Astyanax mexicanus: one gene and its partner. The protein of the gene in region 1 interacts with the protein of each later gene in a biochemical or structural test. Links are inferred from orthologs where the notes say so. Each region holds a gene or a part of one and is shown on either strand. Other genes may lie near its edges.

What was found.
Region 2: of the proteins of pparg (region 1) and cdk5, one has a biochemical effect on the other in vitro, tested with the Homo sapiens proteins (3 studies listed by BioGRID, with this or other methods). The link is inferred for Astyanax mexicanus from reciprocal best matches to the Homo sapiens genes PPARG and CDK5.

The regions. Positions count from the first base shown.
Region 1 is NC_064431.1:12,902,550-12,912,766, reverse strand, and holds the start of pparg (peroxisome proliferator-activated receptor gamma), read left to right. Parts: upstream 1-5,545; 5' UTR 5,546-5,767; coding exon 5,768-5,777; intron 5,778-10,217. UniProt on the Homo sapiens protein: Nuclear receptor that binds peroxisome proliferators such as hypolipidemic drugs and fatty acids.
Region 2 is NC_064413.1:12,471,074-12,481,495, reverse strand, and holds the start of cdk5 (cyclin-dependent-like kinase 5), read right to left. Parts: upstream 4,729-10,422; 5' UTR 4,613-4,728; coding exon 4,576-4,612; intron 3,231-4,575; coding exon 3,142-3,230; intron 2,884-3,141; coding exon 2,816-2,883; intron 2,679-2,815; coding exon 2,618-2,678; intron 2,356-2,617; coding exon 2,299-2,355; intron 1-2,298. Other genes in the region: abcb8 (mitochondrial potassium channel ATP-binding subunit), read right to left, coding at 8,098-8,181. UniProt on the Homo sapiens protein: Proline-directed serine/threonine-protein kinase essential for neuronal cell cycle arrest and differentiation and may be involved in apoptotic cell death in neuronal diseases by triggering abortive cell cycle re-entry. Interacts with D1 and D3-type G1 cyclins.

The DNA.
Region 1 (10,217 bases):
AAACAGCTCACCTATTAATTACCTAATCACAGATAGCTACTCTTAGGATGGGGAACTTCACAGAATTCTCATTATCTCTACTCTACTAGCTGCCTCTGTTTAAGCATAAACTTTTACAGCTAGTGTTTATTAGCAAGATAGGCAGGGATAGGCTAGCTGGGATGGTCAGGGCTAGGCCCAACTTGAGCAGGTTCCTGGAAGATGTTTTTGGAATTAGTTTATAATGTTAGATAGCATTACTATTCTATCCTGTACATCTTGTATCTTTCAGCTGGAAAACAGCCTGTGTGTGAAGAGGTAGTAAACTGAGTCTTAGTGTTGTGGAACGTTTTAATTCATTTAACTTAAGTGAGTAGAGCGTAAAATGAACTTAAACATGCCGTTTTGAGGTGGAGTCTGGGTCTGTCGTCTAATTTAAAAAGACTATCATTAGAAGAAACACTGCAATAAAAATATGATAAATTAGTCATTATTAGGTATGAATGATTCAGTCAAACACTGACAGTGCTGAGACGTTGGCAACTGGGTTAAAAGCTGTCTACAATTTTAGGCCAGGCTTTCTGTCCACTGTATGCTCATCATGGGTACTTATAAGCAGGGCTACCAATTTCTTCATCATCATCTCCTATAAACTTGAGTCACTGCAGCCCAGGGGACATTCAACGGGACATTTCACCCAGAAATCTGATTTTTATCTGCCACCAGTGGACTGAGAGGATAACATGAGTATTGCATGTTTATAAGAGTAGAAAATGGCTATTTCCTTATTTTAAAGCTGGGAAATGAACAAAATGCATAATCTGAGAGTCTAAAAGTGTGTTCTGCTGCTTCATTTCAAAACCTGGAAGTGCGCTGTCTCGCAGCCCAAAAAAGCTTTTTCTGCAGCTTTTCAGAGACAGAAAGTGTAAAAACATGATTTTTTAGCTCAGGCACAACTGTATGAATCACTGAGTGGACAAAAGTATTGGGACAGTATTGTTTTTATTTAGGAAATCAAGGTATTAAAAATACATTTTGTCATGCTTTTGTTGAAATGAGTAAATGCCTATACTGCCCACAGAGGTTTGGCTTTCTACTAGATTTTGGAGCTGCATTGCTGTGAGGATTTGATTGCATTTAGCAACATGAACTTCGTGAGCTCAGGCAACTCCCCAAATCATTTCATCTAAAAGTATTGAACCATCATCATTCCAGTCCTATTCTATTGGCAATATTTCTCTCCTACAGGGACTAGATAAGCTGTGTGTGTGTGTGTCTCAGCAGTAATAGGCGCAACTAAAAGTAGCTAAGTCCATGCTGCACTCATTCTTTTTAAGACATAGCGTATGTCTTAGAATGTGTTAATTACACAGTTTTTTATTTTTTTATTTTGTGATGTCATGAATATATATAAAAAATATATAAATTTGCATTTACATGTGCACCAATCAGCCATAACATTAAGATCATCAGCCTAATATTGTGTATTTTACACCTGGAAGCATCCTGTGGTATCTCCTTTTGTTAAGTTGTGAAGTGGGCGGAACCTTCATGAGCATCAGTGTCCCTTTGGTGCTCATGATCCTGACTTAAGTTATTTCGGTAGGTTCTGATCAGTTCATGCTGAGGTGTTTTGTCGTCTAGAGCATCAAAGTTTGGTTTCTGTTAAAGTGTCTCAGTTTCTGACGCTTGTCCATTTTTCCCAAACAACAAATCAAATTTAAGAACTGACTGTTCACTCTCTACTTAATAATGAAAAGGTTTGGGCACCCATGATCATTTTTAATGATTTTCCTTAATAAATCATTGGTTGTTTTAATCAGCAATTTGAGCAGTTTACCTGCTCCCCACAGTAAAATTTAGTGGTGGTTCATCATGCTGTGGGGCTGTGTGGTCAGTGCAGGTACTGGGAATCTTGTTCAAGTTAAGGGTAGCATGGTTTCTAGTAGGGTTGTGCCATATTGTATCATACCTGATAATATCACCCAAAAATTTGAATACCGTGAACGATATTATATCCTGAAATATCGTGTCATATAAACCCACCCCTAATTATCACAACATAGTACTACTTTTTTGGCGTTTTTAGCAAAAGAAAAATTCACACTGTTCTCATTTCCCATTATATATCTACTAGAGACAGATTATATAACTTTAATCCTTGATATAAAGAGATATTTGGAGTGCATTACTAGTATAATGACATTCTGAGTCATTGACTTCTTTTACAAATCTGATAAAATTATTATTTTTTTTAATATCTCAGTTAGCCATATCATGTTGCATGCAATAATACAATTCTAAATAATTTTTCTAATTCAGTGTTTTGTCATATCGCCAAAAGTATCGTTATCATGAAAATACCATGAAATATCGTGATATTATTTTAGAGCCATATCTCCCACCCATAGATTCCAGTCAATATCAGCAGATTCTTGAGAACAATGTTCAAGAATCAGTCACAAAAACCCTAAACAGTTTAGTTCTCGATTTCCAAAAATACAGTATTATTTTTTTATTATTAGTTTATATATAAAGATTAGTGGTTAATTTAGTGTTGTGTTTAAACACCACCCACTAGATATCAGTGTTATAGTGTGATGTTAGATGTCTTTGTTCTGATTGGATTAAAACTATTATTCTACACAGATTTTTTTCCCATTATGTTTAAGTTCTGTCTCAATACTACCTGTCTCAATATTTTGTTTGGATGATTTACTTTACCAGAAATAATTGAGATAAAATATTTTATTGTCATTTCAAGACACTGCATTTAATGCCACTGATAATAGTGATAATGTTGAAAAGCTTATTGAACTTTACATTGTTGAGAATATTCATACATTGGAATTGAAATAAAAATGTCTGGTCATTTTAAAGATCTTAAATAAAACAAAACAAAACAAAAAAAAATAGAAACATGTCAGCACATTTACATAAATGGTTTCTCCTTGCTAAGAAAAACTAAAATAATTATGACAATATTGATGTCAGTAAAAATGATTGACTAGCTGTGGATATTGGCTCTATAGGCTTTTTAAATGTAACAGTAGTGCAGTATTGAACATTTTTCCTCCATCAATCATCTCAATCATCTCTAAAAACAGCAGATGTTCAGAAGGAAAGTCTCGGGATTTCCCCGCACACCATGTTTCCCAAATCACTCAGAACAAATCAGGGTTCACGCGTGCCAAGCCTGACAAATCTATGCCAGACTACCCAGCATGTGGTCTACCAGTCTCGTAGTGTAATTCCTGTATCAAAGTGACGAACACCTGCCCAGCAAATTCAGTAGTAGCCGTGTGGGCGGCGAGACAAGCCGGTGTCTGGGCTCCGTCTCATAGCGAGAGGGCACGAGTGACACTCAGTGGGGGAGATTTTGCTGGCAGAGCGGAGGTCAGGAAGTCACATTTTCTCTGTATGCAGAATCTTGAGGTCACGTCCTTTTCCATTGAAAATGTCGCACCTACAGTGTCGCGACCAAATCCTGAACCTGAGCCACACTCTCCACTTTTCAGAGAAACACTGTTTCAGAAAGTGCTCAAAGAGACCAACCAGCAGCACTGCAGTGAAGAGTTTAGAGCACAGAGATGAAGCTCTTTCCTCTTTTCCACTCGTTTGCAATTACAGCAGATACAACTATCCAATCACGTTTCACTACACTACCAAGTTCATTTCACACCAGATATCAGTCTATAGACCTTAATAAGCTTGATAGGCCAAATATTTGGCAGGCAAAATTATTCTGCCAGAAATGGCAAAAAAAAAATTTTAGGCATTTTAGGCTCTCTTCCACATCATTGAAAATACCAATTTATTTAAAGTTTTCTTATGCAGTGGTGGAAAACCCACACTCCTCCACATAAACTGATCACAGAAAACATCCTGTTTACACATGTATTAAATGAGGACAAGATTCATCTCTGGTCACCCCCAAAAATCGCCTCATTGATCTTTAATGTCAGGTGTAAACAGGATCTATGAGTAATTTAATGCTTCTTTAGTACCATGATTATACCTATAAAATGTATTTTTGCTTTGCTTTGTCGTAATTATATTTTTTCAATTATTAAACAAACTTAAATATCAGAAAAGATGATTTGAGTAAATACTTTTTAATTGTTAATATGATTTATTAAAGGAAAGAAAGTATCCAATCCAATCTAGCCCTGTGTGAAAAAGTGTTTGCCCCCTAAACTTACTACCTAACTCTAATCAAGCTTTACCGATAACTGGCAACAAGTCTTTCACATTTCTATCGAGGAATTGTGGCTCACTTTCTTTGCGGAATTGTTTTAATTTAGCTTGATTGGAGGTTTTCGACCATGAACCACAGCATCTCAATCAGACTTTGACTAGGCCACTCCAAAAGCTTCATTTTTTTTTTCCAAGCCATTCAGAGGTGGACTTGTTGTTTGTGTGCTTTGATCATTGTCCTGCTACTGAACCCAAGTACGTCTGAGCTTGAAGTCTGGAAAAGATGGCAGGATATTCTTCTTCAGGATTGTCTGGTAAACAGCAGAATTCCTGGTTCCATCTATTACAGCACGTTATCCAAACCCTGAAGCAGCAAAGCAGCCCCAGACCATCACACTACCACCATCATGTTTTATGTTCAGTATAATGTTTTTTTTATATATATATATCATGTGTTAGTTATATGCCAGATGTAATTTGATAATTTGAAAAAAGTAAGTTTGACAAACATGCAAAAACAAGAAAAATCTGTAAGGGGGCAAATACTTTTTGACGCCACTGTAGATACGGCCAAAATGCAATTGTAAACACACAAAGACACATTTTAAACAGATACAAATCCGATCACTCAAACGACTTCAGGAGGTGGTCTGAGAACAGTTAAAACAGACTATATTCGATCAATCAAACCACTTCAAGACATGGTCTTAGATGCATTTAATCCAATACAAATTCAATCACTCTGACCACTTCAGAAGTTGGTCTGAGATGCAGATATAACAGATACACAATGGATTACTTAAAACATTTCAGTAGGTGGTCTGAGAGACATTTAACACATTTTTGCATATTCCGTCCCACACAGCAGTTGGAGTCCAGCTTGGTAACACATATGACTAGCAAATATAAACATGTGGTAAAAATATAATCAGGGTGAAGATCAGATACTATCGCTATGAACAAGCTCATTGCAGATCCAGTTATAGTTTCTTTAAAAAAAATTGTAGAGGGGTCTTTAAATATTCAAATTCACAAAATTCTATTGCAGAAATTGTACATTATGGAACAACAAATAGTTATTTTGTGTCATTGCCTGAAGAACCTTTTGTAGTACGTTTATTTTTTTGGACTGCAGGGAGGTTGTGCAATGTTTTTACCCCCTATGCTACACCTAGTCTGATACTGTTTACCCTCCGTTTCACCATTTACGGGAATTTTCTGCAGACAGGCGTTAGAGTTGAGGAAAGATCTGCTGTAAGAACACCCTGGAGGTAAACAGTCTGAAAGTTTAGCACTGTACATTCCTCTGGTCTGAGGAAGAGGAGTGTGGTATGCAGGTTGTGCTGAATTATCTGGTCAGAATCCCACAGCGAGAGGAGCAGTCAGTCGCCTGTTTGAGGGCTTATCAGCCCGCCTCGCTGAGATGAATGTGGAGATGTCGTTGAATGTGGTCAGGCAGGTTCGGCTGGTGTCCTCTACTGATGATCCCGGCTCTGCTGCAGACTGTAGCTACGTGAACGGTAGCACCTCTCAGCTGCCAGACCTGTGATTTCCCTCAGCCTCAGGACTATGTGACTGTGACGGGTGGTAAATGGAGGTTGGTAAGTGGATTTTCTGGGGTTTTTCTTGTGTATATTCCTTGCTCTCATTTCTTGAATATTAGTTGTCCACAAAGAACAGTGTTTCCTGGTGTGTTCAGCGCATTTTTAGAACTTTGCAATCCCTGTTTTAATGCAGATTGATTTTTTACCTGTTGAGTTTCAATGGTAAATAGGAAGCTGATGTGGATCATGCATACATTTTATTTTATTTTATTGGCAGTGCTGCTGGACAATAATGCCCTCAAACCTTTCAGGTGTTTAAACCACTTTTGGACCAAACCAGTTTCAGTCTGTGCTTTTACCAGTTATGTGGATCATCAGGATGATCAGCCTGAAGTATTGATGATTAATGGTGCTTTCACACCTGCCTTGTTTGGTCGGAATTGTCAGAATTTCAGTTTGGGTCTGAATCAAACCAGCAGGTGTGAACAGGACTGCGAACCACACAAGCAGCTGTTTGATTTGGAGAGTTTGGTCCAACCAAAAGAGGTGGTCTCAGTCTAGATCTACTGAAATAAGGTCCGGTTCATCTGCAGTGTGAAAACACTTCTCTAGATGGTTTAGACCTTCTGACTTTCTAACTTATTACAGGAAGTTTATGCAGTCTTTAAACAAACCAGAAGAAAAAAGACCCTTGATGTGCAGGATGCAGCATTTAGGACACAAACGCTTAAACTGGAAAATCATTAATTTACTGTAACAGTAGGTTAACCCTTATTTATAAACAGAAATAAAAGGAATCTGAGAAGAATATTTTCAGATTCTGACAGAGAGCTAGAATCGGCCACACCAGGCAAAGCAACTCGGCATATTCATATCTAACATTCTGCAAACCAATAAATATTAAGTATAGAGAGACTCCACCCATGTAGCTGATGATGACAGGATGTAGTAAAGTTCTTTATTCTGCTCACTAAACTGCAGTGTGAAACCGAAACTAACTGGAGCAAACCTACACAACATAACAAAGACATGAACTCTGGTGCAGACTCTGTGATGAAGATAATGATGAAGTTACTAGGAACAAAACATTTTTTTAAATGTACACTAGTTTGGCTAATATTTATTGAGCTACACATACAGAAGTAGTGTATAATGCATATGCAACAGGCGTGGAGTTGTAGAGGTTCCTAATGATGTCCTGCGAATGATGTCCATCCCATGCAGCCTCAATACTCTTATGCAGTTCCTGCAGATATAACAGTAGGGGTATATGAATGTTGACAGTGCATCCAATAGCATCCCTCACAGTTTCAATCAGAGATGAATGAGTATTGTACTGTTGCACACAGAAAAGATACGGGGTTCAGAAAAGATAGGGCCACTAGTTGCAGGTCATCATTTAAGTAAAATGCCTGTAATGAAGACCAAAGATGCTCTAGCATTATACAAAATGACACCCCACAATGTGGTCAACGTGGTGAGGAAGTACTTTTCGTACAAGACAATTATTTGAAAATAAATGGTGGATAATGATGCAAGTGCAGCAGTGATGTCAATGACGTGTTGTATATTGGCTTAGCAGTGCTTCACACTTTTAAAACAGGTTAGTATGTTAAAAAGGTTGTGTACTAATCTGCCAAACCAGCACTACTGAGTTTAGTACTCAGTGCTAAATGTATAATAATATATTATATAATAATATATACCTGATAGTATTAGTGTGAAGTACACATTTGGGACGTAGCCCAGATTTCCACAAATGTTTGACATTTAAAGGCTTTAAATTCTGACAGCATTATATAAATACTCCATCACTCCATTGAACTTCTCCTTTGTACTTGATCTGCACTTTTAATACAAGAGGTTTTTGGTGTATCCGTGTGAAGCTGTGTAACACTGTAAGTGATGAAACTTCAAATATATGTAAAATCATTGTTTTCCACACTTCATCTTGGCCTGACCACCGCTGTTGTTAGGAAATATCAGTGGAAAACATCATGTTCTTGTTGCAATCCCGTCCCTGTGGAAGGGATTTCACATCATCACTCTTTCCTTCACATTCTCTCCATCTAACTGAATCAGAGCTCCTCTCACAGACCCTACACTCTACCCTACACAAAAAACGGGTTCCATTGAGTACGGAATAAAGGGTTCTTTTAAAATAGAAGAATAAATGAACTCTACATTAAACACTATATAGGTCCTACTCTGTATATAAGTCCACCTTCCAAGGTTTTCCAAATGGGCCAAACAAAGCACCATTTAACCAAACAAAACACCATTTAATTTTACCTTCTACAGAAGATTTTCTACCAATCTAAAGAACATTAAGCCAAACAAAGCACTATTTGAAAAACACATGGTACATTGATTTTTCATTCTTCTAAATAGAACCACCTAGAAAGTTTTTTTATTTAGTTTTATTAGTTTTTATTTAGTGGTTCTTTAAGGTTGTCTTGTTTCCAAATACAACCATCTACAGGAGGTTTTTAATCAGTCCAAAGAACCCATAACCAACCAAAGTGCTATTTCAAGAGCATTCAATGGTTCTTTAAGGGATCATGGGTCTATTCACAATTATTAAAGAAGTAGAAGTATTGAAGCATGTAGGTCAAGGTCAAGGTCCCATATAATGTAGAAACACCTATAAAAGGGTTTTCTTCAATGTGAAAAAAACAAGCAAAGAGCTTTTTGAGCTTATAATGGGTGTTTATGGAACTATTTTAAAAGGACAGAGCATCTACGCAGGTCTACTGTATGTAAAGCGGGAGAAACGTCTGTGTCCGAGCACAAAGCTAAATGTAAAGCTTTCACCTGTACATTTGTGTACATTGCAAGATCAGACTTGATGGGACAGTTGCTGAAGGTCCATTAAGGGCTGGTCCACATGACATTTGTAGGCTTTTGTTTGTCAGCACTGCGTTAACTTTGATCGTTTGTCATGTTTTGTTCGGTTTGCTCCGCACGTCAGGTTAACGCAAACACTGTCTGGACCAATCAGCTGTGCGGAAACAGGAGAAGCTTTAATGTGGATCTTCAGCACTGTCACGTGTAACTACCTTAAATCATCACAGAGAAAAGACTGGAAGAGTGTAGACGCAGTAGTTCTGTAAATGGGCTGAAAAGAAAAAGGAGTTTTATTCTTTATAGCTCTGCACAATACTGGAAAAAATGATATATTATCATATTTAAAATGCACAAAATTTCACCACATTTCAGTCCAAAATTTAATGTTTCATGATATTTCCAGTTACACAGTTTGTGTATTGAAGACTGAAGTAAAATAAATAATATTGGACAGATATAAGCTTCCTTTTGTATCAAGCAAGTTAGCAAAGAATTACATGTATGGTTTAATTAGCCTCCTGCGATGTTACATTGTGCCCTTTGCAATTATAATAAAAAATATGAACATATATTGTTGATACTGTGATAACAATACTTATTTTTAAGTATGTTTTATGTAATATACACAACTTATCAAAAGTTTTGGAACACCTTTATTTTTTTCCCCTTTTTATTTAAGCTCTTTATGTCCAGTCAGTAACTGTAAATAGCACATAATACAATACATTTTCCAAAAAGTAGTTTTAGTATGGTAAAAAATGTATATTGTAAATAAAACCGAAACAGTATTGAAACAGATACTGCTGCATTTACACACTTACACACAGCACATACACACATTTATCATAATAACTAGAAAAAGACACAGAAACCCAGATCACTCTGTAACTATTAAAAGTAGAAGACTTTTTTTTATAAGAAATTAAAGATGAAGCCAGAGAGCAGTTAGTACTGTTTCCTACACCTTCAAAAGTCTCTGGGAAACTGGAGGAAGAGGTTTAGCTGACCCACATGGCAACGCCAGCCTTAAGCTCAGCCTAACATTGGACTAAGTCTCAGTTTGTGAAAAAGAAGAATTAGAGATCTGACATGGGATAATAAAGTCTTATTAATCAAATAGGTAATCAAATAAAAAAGCAGTTTGTCTGGACCATACAGCGCAGCTGCTGGACAGCAAAAAAATAAGGATAAACTGGTTGGATCTGGTTGGTTTTTGAATGTGGTTCAGGAGCAAGAATTCCCAGATTTCCTCCAGGGATTTACGTAAAATATTAAGTATTTTCGCATTACGACTAATGACAGGCCTGGAGAATTAAGCTGTAGACTAGAGGACCTGAGTTCTCTGGAATATTGGTGCCATCTAACATCCTGATCATACTATTGCTGTCACATCAATGCTCTAGAAAAATCTATTAGAAACTCTTCTGTGGAAAGTAGAGAATGTTACTTAGAAAGTAGACCTTATAAGAGGAGAAAGATTGGTGTCCCAATACGTTTACCATTTTATTTTACCAGGGTATCAAAATAAGTCTTGCCCACAAAATGAAAACTTAATCATACTGAAAACATGTTTTGTTACACCCTTATTTAAGGATGTATTCATTCATTTAAAAGAATTTTAGGCCCTCAAGGTCAGGCCACCCTTTTCCC
Region 2 (10,422 bases), on another chromosome or scaffold:
GCGTTGCATGCATAATAAATCAAACTGCTTAAGATTTACAAAAGCTCAATCTTGCCACTGAATGGAGAACTCTGGTGGGAAACTGACTTTGGGTGTAATAAAACATGATAAAGAGTACTAACCTTTGTTGAATATCACACCTCCGTTTTCCTGCAGTCATTTAATTCTGTTTGTCCAAACCCCCTTTAGACTGGGTGATACAGGGCATATTCTTGCCCCTGCAGATACATTGCTTTTTACATTGTTATCCAGGATCAAAGTAGCTCCACACCTCATTTGTAGAATCCGGAAAGCTCTGATATTTACACGAGGAATTAAGAACTTGTGGAGAAGAAATTTAATAAAAAATTTCTGTTTTCAACCAGTAGCATAGCCTACATCTCCGGGCGCCACCATCTTACATGATCAGTAGAGCGACAAGCATGTACTGTTGACGGAAATACATGCTGTATACGTGAAGTCGACGTGGCCGGGATGTGTGCTGTGATCGGACGGCATAAGAAAAGTTGGTGCCTTTCCAGTCTGCAATATTACATGCTTGAAGGTCTACTGATCATGACTTTACTTTAAAATGTCAGTGCCTGGAGCTGTAGCTAAGGCTACGGGATGTAAGCAGTAGTTTTTATAGTTCTTAATTCCTCGTTTAAAATGTCAGTGCTCTCTGGATTCTACCAAATGAGGTGTGGAGCTACTTTAAGCCTGGATAATGGTGGAAACAGTGATTTATCTGCAGGGACAAGAATATGCCCCGTATCACTAGGGCTGGACCCGAATATTCGGGTATTCGGATATTCGTTCGTTGAGTAGGTATTCGGTTTTTAATTTTGGTATTCGGATATTCGTTTTTTTTCCCCTTTCCAGAGTTCCACCTCACTCTAACCACTTCTGTTCTCGCGGGTCCCGTCAGAATATCTTGCGCGCGGGACAGAACTGAACTGTTATTGGCTGGAGCGGGAGTTTAATCCAGACGATGCGGGAGCAAATTAATAAATAGTTAAGAAAACTGTAATAATTGTAAAAAAAAAAAAAACCTAAAGAAAACTCTCAACGCGCAGGATGGACCGACACACACACGCACACACCGATGGTGTTTGGACTGGGGTAAGGAACGGGACCACACTATTTTAATAAATATATAAGTAAATTTGAAGCATTAAATGTAGTTTATTTAATTTATATTAGGAACGTGGGGCGGGAGCGGCAGAAATGTTTATGTGGCGGGCGGGCGCGGGATTAAAAGAAGCAATTTTTTTGCGGCGCGGTAACGAGACAGAAACGCGGGAGCGTGGAAGAGTGGGTTTAAAAATCAGTCTCGCGCAGACCTCTATTATACATGATAAAAAAAATGCAGGCTCTTCGAAACTGATTTATATAATAAAACGTAAGGGGTAATGTGGCAACAGTAGGGGCTAAATCGGTTACAAAAGCCTGGCCTACAAAAATGATGTCTGAACGAATTTCCTCTTATCTAATATAATTTAAAATGGTTTAAAAATATAAAATAATTTCTAAGCAAACGAAATATTTAATATTGAGCTTATAGCCCAAGTGCAAAAATACAAAATCAGTAATATGCCCTGCACAATCCTTTAACCGAAATAGACCAAGTACAGTTTACAATGACTGTCCTCTAATATAATCAACAATGTTTAAGAATATAAAATACTTCCTGAACAAACGTTTTTTGTTTGTTTGTTTTTTTAAGCAAATAACCTAAGTGTGAAAACACAAACAGCAATTTACTGGGCTGGCTTGCGCAGCGGAGAAACCGTGCAGCAGCAGCCTCGGTGTGGGGCAGCAGCAATTCCGGGATGAAAACACAAAGAAATCTGGGCTAAAAACAGAAAAAATATGGGGTGAAAACACAAAAATCCGGGATAAAAACACCAAAAATCCGGGGTGAATATGTCTCGTCGGTCAGAGCAAATTGAACATTTTTCAGTGGATTAAAGGGGCCGTGATTTGCTTTTTTTTTTACCTCTTTTTTTAAAAACGAATATTCGAATATTCGCTTCGAATCAGTGCCGAATATCCGGAGCTCAAAAAACGCTATTCGGGCCAGCCCTACGTATCACTCAGTCTAAGGGTCTTTGGTCAAATGGAATAAAATTGCTGGAACATCAGAAAGCAGTGGGAGAACGGAGGTGGTACTTTTCATAATGTTCTACTACAATCAAAGTCAATTTTATACAGGAGTTCTCCTTTAATCTGAAACTCATGCTGGACACAGTTGTTCAAGTTACAGTAGCATGACTTTCCGAAGCTTTTATATTAAGACTACACAAAATGACCACATACCTTTACAATCTCTGGATCCAAATCGCCATTGCAGCTGTCAAAATATTTCTTTAGATCCTGTTAATAGAGAAATATATACATATATAAAAGATACATGGAACTGCAAAATCAGTTTCTGTAATATATAGGGTGGGGGGTCTTAATAACACATCCTGTGTTTTTCAAATAAAGGATACTGTGCAAAGACAACATACTCAGATATAATAATTGTAGGCATATAATGGAAATGAAAACAGCCCTAAAACATCCACTATCCTATGCTATGATTACAGCACCTACTACAGCCCTTTTACTGTATAATAAAACAGTGTTGCCTTACCTGATCACAATATTCAAACACTAATGTCAGCTTTTTGTCACTGTGTAGAACATCATGCAACCTTGACAGAAAAAAACAAAAACAAAAAACAAACATTTAAATTTTTCAACACTGCATGAGTGGAAAAGAAAACGTCAACTACTGTATAATTTCAAATACATGTAAAATGTCAATTGAAATTACAGTAAATAATCCTACCTTACAATGTTTTTATGCTTCAGCTCCTTCAAGAGACAAATTTCTCTTAAAGCTGAACTGGGAACCCCCTACAAAAGAAACAGTAAAATTAAAAACAATGCTTAAACAGAACATGTAGGTGTTTAAGAAACGGTTAAAAGTATTGCTTTAGTTTGGTCTGTAATACTGTATACATTTACTTTCAGTTTTCTTACATTTTCAGTAAACAATGGCAAAATATTGCCTTGCTTACAGCGTCAAAATATACTGCAATATATTGATTTATAACCAAGTTCTTGTCGATACACAGCCCTAATAACATTAGTAGCACTGTCTGATCTCCTGACCTCATCATCATCATCCAGCCTGACCCGCTTCAGAGCCACTATCTCGTGCGTCTCTCGGTTTTTAGCCTTGAAGACTGTTCCATATGTACCTGTTGGAGAACAGAAACAGCATGCACTCAGAGACGATGAAACATATAACTACAGTATCAGTCAAATGTTTGCACACAACTCTTCTCATTCAATGTTTAAAAAAGTGTTAGTCCTCCACATTAATCCCCTGACCTAAACCTGATCAACTGAGATGGTGATTAGAGGTGATTTGGGATGAGCTGGAGCTTCACAACGTGAAGGAAAAGCAGCAACTATGGTTCAGCACCTCCAGGAACTCCTTTAAGACGCTGAGAAAACTATTTCAGGTGATTCACAAACTCAAAGATAAATGTGCTACTTAGAAGAATCTCAAGTATTAAACATATTTTGGTTTCTTTAACACTAAATTCCACATGTTCAAACTTTTGACTGGTACTGTATGTTTGGAAAAATACATCCTGTAACAGATTTATTCTAAAATAACAGACTGACACACACACAGTGTGAGAGACAGTATGTGTTGTTCTTCTTTGATGTTATTTTGGGATTAATGATCCCTGCTGTGTCTTGCTTCTTTCTACTGCTCTCTTTCTGAATGAACAGAGGAGCAAAGCCCTATTACTCACAGTTAAGACTCCTTTTGAGTCAAAAACAGATTTAATTTGTGAGACTATTAACCAGGGGATATTAGCCATTTGTCTAGTTTCTGTAACACTCACCTTATATGTCTGTAACACATATCGTCCACAAAAAAATCGTATTGTGACAGACCACGATGTAAATAAACGGTTTGCAGTGTATACAATTCTGACTCCAGCAAATTCTAGAACTGGTTTGCCACAACATCAATTACAGGCTACAATTCATCATGTTTACAACATATTATTCACTATTATATATACATTTATGTATGTGTGGACTAAGTGCATTAGGTAGCTAACTAACTAACAGCTTACTTAGCTAATTTACGTGTTTTGTAGCTAGTTAATCTAGCACATTATTATTATTATTTTTTTTTTTATCGTTAATTAACGTTAGCGTTAGCTAAGTCACAGCCTGTCTTGTCTGTGTGCGATACCAGCGGCTGGCGAGCTGGAAGCCTCCAATGGAAGCCTCCAGGTAACTCCGGCTCGTTGTAAAGGTAAATGTGCTGAACTCTGGCTGTGTGTGGCTTTGTTGATGGCAGCTCTTTAATCTCCTGTCACTGTTTGTAGCTCTCCCACTGATTTACAACCTATGGCCCGCAGGCAGGCTGGCCTTCGCCGGTAACGCTGGGTTAAGCTCTCTGGTCCCCAAGCTAAGCGAGCCAGCTAGCAAACACAGCTAGCCCGGCTAACCCAGCTAACAACCGCTGCAGCGTCTCTCCCAGCCGGACAGCAGGGAGGCAGCACAGCTCGGGCTTACCCTCTCCGATCTTCTCCAGCTTCTCATATTTCTGCATGCTGAACCAGTGAAGCTCGCCGTATCTATCTCTCAGCCGCTGGCCCGGTTCCGCTGCTCCGCTCGGTTCAGCTCAGGCAGGTACCGCTGATCGCAAGTCAACAACAGAAGGGGCGTGGCTGCTCCAGCAACATGGCTACAGTGAGGAGAAGCTTCAAAATAAAAGTCACTTAGTAAGTATTGATCCTGAGGTAATAAAGAAAGCTATTATGTATATAAATGTAACATTAACATGTTAAATATATCATTTTAAAAACATTTAACAAAACAGAGTTACGCTCAATTCCAATTCATCCTTGGCCCTACCGCTTAGCTCAACCAATAGACAGTCTAAGAGCCAATCCCATGCGTAAAAGCATAAAGACGCATGAATTCTGATTTGACATTTGAATTGGATTTCACATTCATACAGCCATAAAAAAATCTAATCTGAGCCACATTGAGCAAGAAAAACAGGTTTAAGTCACTTCAGTCTGGTAATGTGAACATAGCCTAGGTAACTTAAGGGCATCGTATGTCTTCAAAAAGGGGGCAGGTGGTAACGCAATTAATTATTATAAATTCCTTAATTCCTCTGTAAAGAGGGCTGAAGCTTATTTTTATTTAGTATCACTAAAAGTCTTGATGTTCATGTGTCCACGGTACGACAGATGGTCTACAAATAGAGAAAGTTCAGCACTGTTGCTACACTCCGTAGGTCTGATCGTCCTGTAAAGATGACTGCAAGAGCACAGCACAGAATGATCAATGAGGTGAGGAAGAATCAGCTGAAGACTTACAGAAATCTCTGGCACATGCTAACATTTTTGTTGACAAACCTACAATAAGAAAAACATTAAACAAGAATGAAGTTCATGAGAGGACACCATGGAGGAAGCCACCGCTGTCCAAAAAAACATTGCTGCATGTTTGAAGTTTGCAAAGGAACACCTGGATGTTCCACAGCAGTACTGGCTAAATATACTGTGGACAGATAAAGCCAAAATTGAGTTGTTTGGAAGGAACACACAACAAAATTAGCATATTGTGATAAAGTTAATTTTTTCCATAATTAAATGATAAAAAGTAAACTTTCATATATTTTAGATTCATTGCACACCAACAGAAATATTTCAGGTCTTTTATTGTTTTAATACTGATGATTTTGGCATACAGCTCATGAAACCCCCAAATTCCTATCTCACAAAATTAGAATATCATGAAAAGATTCTCTAAAAGAGCTATTAACCTAATTATTTGAATCAACGAATTAACTCTAAACACCTGCAAAAGATTCCTGAGGCTTTTAAAAACTCCCAGCCTGGTTCATTATTCAAAACCGCAATCATGGGTAAGACTGCCGACCTGACAGCTGTCCAGGAGGCCATCATTGACACCCTCAAGCAAGAGGGTAAGACACAGAAATAAATTTCTGAACGAATAGGCCGTTCCCAGAGTGCTGTATCAAGGCACCTCAGTGGGAAGTTTGTGGGAAGGAAAAAGTGTGGCAGAGCCACAGGCTGATTGCCTCCATGCCACGCCGCATTGAAGCAGTAATTTCTGCACCAAGTATTGAGTGCATAACTGAACATAATCATTTGAAGCTTGACTTTTTTTGCATTAAAAACACTTTTCTTTTATTGGTCAGATGAAATATGCAATTTTTTTAAAATAAGTATTTTTGTTTTGTCTTTACTTTTTTGCCAAAATCATCAATATTAAAACAATAAAAGGCTTGAACTACTTCAGTTGCGTGTAATGAATCTAAAATATATGAAAGTCTAATGTTTATTAGTACATTGCAGAAAATAATGAACTTTATCACAATATGCAAATTTTTTGAGGACCTGTATGTGTGGAGAAAAAAGGCACATCACACCATTATCAAAACCTCATCCCAACTGTGAAATATGGTGGAGGGGCATCATGGTTTGGGTCTGCTTTGCTGCCTCAGGGCCTGGACAGATTGCCGTCATCAACGGAAAAATTAATTCCCAAGTTAACCAAGACATTTTGCAGGAAAACTTAAGATAATATGTCTGAAGCTCAACAGAGGATGGATGATGCAACAGGACAGCGACCCAAAACATAGAAGTAAATCATTAACTGAATGGCTTCAACAGAAGAAAATGCACCTTCTGGAGAGTCCTGACCTCAACCCAATTGAGATGATGTGGCATCATGACCTCAAAAGAGAGATTTACACCAGAAATCCCAATAATATTGCTGAACTGACACAGTTTTGTAAAGAGGAATAATCCAAAATTCCTCCTGATGTGCAGGTCTGATCTGCAACTACAGGAAACGTTTGGCTGCAGTTTTTGCTGCCAAATGAGGGTCAAGTTATTAAATCCAAAGGTTCACATACTTCCCCCCCTTACTGTGAATGTTAACATGTTGTGTTCAATAAAACCATGGAAACATATTTTTTTGTGTGTGGTTTTAGTTTAAGCTGACAGTGTTTGTCTATTGTTGTTACTTGTGATCAGAACACATTTAACGACCAATTTATGCAGAAATCCAAGTAATCCCAAAGGGTTCACATACTTTTTCTTGCAACTGTAGATATATGATACACAGTCTCCATGTATCCATAGAATGATTTGACGGTAAATCAAAATTTAAAAGTGCTTTAAGACATAGCTTAGAGATTTAGACTAGATGTTACAAAGATGTTTGATTTCAGGATGAAACCTAAACTCACCAAATACTTTATCATGAACAGAACACTAACCTTTGGTAGTCTTTACATTGCTCAAAAAAGCCTTAGTTTATGTATTTTACCTGGAGAAAATCTGCACAGACACAGGGAGTACACACCAAACCGATCACAGTGTTCAGATCGGGGATTGAACCCCCAAACCCAGGCCCCTGGAGCAGTGCGACAAACACGCTACCTGCGGTGCCACCACTGTCCGCCAAAATCTGCATTACTTTATTGCCATAAATCAATATACTACTCTTTTATTGACATAAGCTTGTAGAAAAAAAATTCTATTATGGGCAAAAAATATCTAAAAGGGTGTACCAAGTGCATAATGTGTATTTTTGTGGTATATATATTTGCATGATTGCTGAGGTGTAATAAATCAGTTTTATTTATTAACAATACTCCAGTTACATCAAATATACATCTTAACCCTCGTGTTTACTCAGGCATTCTTTCTGAAATTCATTATAACACATACACTTTACTATACATTCATGTACATAAAACATGTAATTCTACATATTATTTAAAAAATATATTACTAAAATACTTACAGTCAGTAGACAGTATGCTCTATAATGCTTAGAAACACCGCTCATTCAAAACTACTCCAATCCTGAGCTCAAAACTTTCTCACAATTCACAATCCTTTGATCTACAAGTAGTGTAGTAAATCACCCTGATAACACATCATACAGGGAAATGTAATTAAAAGGTTTTGTTTACATCCAGTAAACTATGAACAAGACCAGTCAGTGTTTTGGACTGTAGTGCTGCACTTCCACCACATCACGGATTCATTGTTGGCCATTAGATCTTTGTCTTCTGATCAGCTCAGCATACAGACCCCCTTTGCTCAATAATTCCAGATGGGTTCCAGTCTTGAATAACAAAAAGATAAACAAACAGTTACAAAATAAGCAAAATAACAGGCTAAACTAAAGTCAGAAAATTATTACATTTTATACAAATGTAAATTAACAAGTAATGCTTGTATTCCCCTTCTGTCTTTATAATACAGTGCTAGTCTTTTACAGCACATGAGTGTCTGAGTGAGTAACCGACTAACTAAGTGAATGAGTACACAGTGAGTGACCATCAAAGTGAGTGACAAAGTAAAAAAAATGTAATATAAATGATATAATCCTGTCATTAGCTCTTTAAGTACAAATGTGCACACATTTAATGTATGTTATCACCAATGCATATCAAGTTCACACAGCGTGTAAGACTGGTGGAGGAGAACATGGCTGTATTCGGAATGGCATACTACTGTACTGCGTACTGCATACTGCACTAGTATGTACTGCATACTACACACTGCCCAGTATGTAGTATTCGGTACTGCAACACTTTTGATTGTAGTACCCTACACGGTCCCTGACACACCAATCAGTGCTCTGTAGTGCTCCGAATTCCTTAGAGTGAGTTGTAAACAGAAAGAACATGAAAAATGTCCTACCTTTTCATTATTAAAACTAATGAGATCTGCATACTGTCCAGAACAGCAATTGCTGCTTTTATTTTAGAGTTTAGCAGCTAACCCAATTCTAACAACCAATTAGCAGCAGCCCCCACAACCCAAGTATGTTCCAGTTATATTTAAATATGTTTTTCTATTTATTTTAGTAGATTACTATTTTCATCTATGTAAGTACCAACAAGAAGAAAACATTTAAACAAACTCTCATTCATATTTACACAATCTCAACACAAATCAAACAATTAATTTGTATTCAAATAATTCCCTTATTTAAAAGAAAAATATGTATTTAAACTAAGGGAATTATTTATTAAATCAACAGAACGATTTATTAAACAAAGGTCATTATTTATTAAATAAAGAGAACGATTTATTAAAACTGAGGGAATTTTTTATTAAAGTAACAGAATAATTTATTAAAACTGAGGGAATAATTTATTAAAATAACAGAATAATTTATTAAAACTGAGGGAATCATTTATTAAAACTGAGGGAATCATTTATTAAAACTGAGGGAATCATTTATTAAAATAACAGAATAATTTATTAAAACTGAGGGATTTATTTACTGCATCAAGGAAAGTAATGGCTCACCGCTGTCGAGACCCTCTGCTGTCCCGGCAGCGGAGGGTCCCCACCCGCGGAAAACGCGTGGCCGCGGCAGCGGAGGGGGCTCGACAGCGGTGAGCCAATACTTTCCAAAATAATTCCCTTAATTTAAAAATATATTTATTTATAAAATTTAAAAATATCTCGCACTCGCATCCATCTTGTTTTTTTCTGAAGCGAGCTGGAGAAGCCAGTCGCAATGCATGTTGGGATGCAGTACACCGCAAAGATAGCTCCCCATGCACACTGCGAAATCGGAGCGGAGTAGTACGTACACCATCCGGGTACCTGTAGTGCACTACAGATCCTCAGTTTGGTCACATACTGCGTACTGCATACTGGCTTTAGGCAGATTTAGTACGCGAGTAGTATGTAGTATGCCATTCCGAATACAGCCCAAGTCTGGATGCATGAAAACTTTAATTAAAAAACAGGGTCATTGAACTCTGAAATATGAACTTTTTTTTGGCATTATTTGAGGTATGAAAGCTCTGCATCTTTTTGTTATTTCAGCCATTTCTCATTTTCTGCAAATAAATGCTCTAAAAGACAATATTCTGATTTGAAATTTGGGAGAAATGTTGTCCATAGTTTATAGAATAAAACAGCAAGTTAGTTTTCCTTAAACATATACCTATAAATGACAAAAATCAGAGAAACTGATAAGTGGTCACTTATTTTTTTCCAGAGCTGTGTTTATTGCATTCTAATAGAAAGGCTAATAAATATGCATTTGTTTAATGTTTTATATTAACCTACAAATTCTATAAATACATTTTTGAATGCATAAAAATGAGTAAATATACTCATTTCTATATACAAGAATGAACATTTTAAAAGTAATTGTCTATAGTTCTATATGTTTCTATAAGTATAGAAGTACGCTTTGTGAGGGGTTATTTTGTGAGTAAGGTTGAACACTGGCCTCATTGCAAAGCAACTAAATTATTTAGAGTTGGACTAAGGCCTGACAGAAGGTGCCAGATGGATCGGTTGTAAGGATATTTAACATTCCTCAATCCACATCATC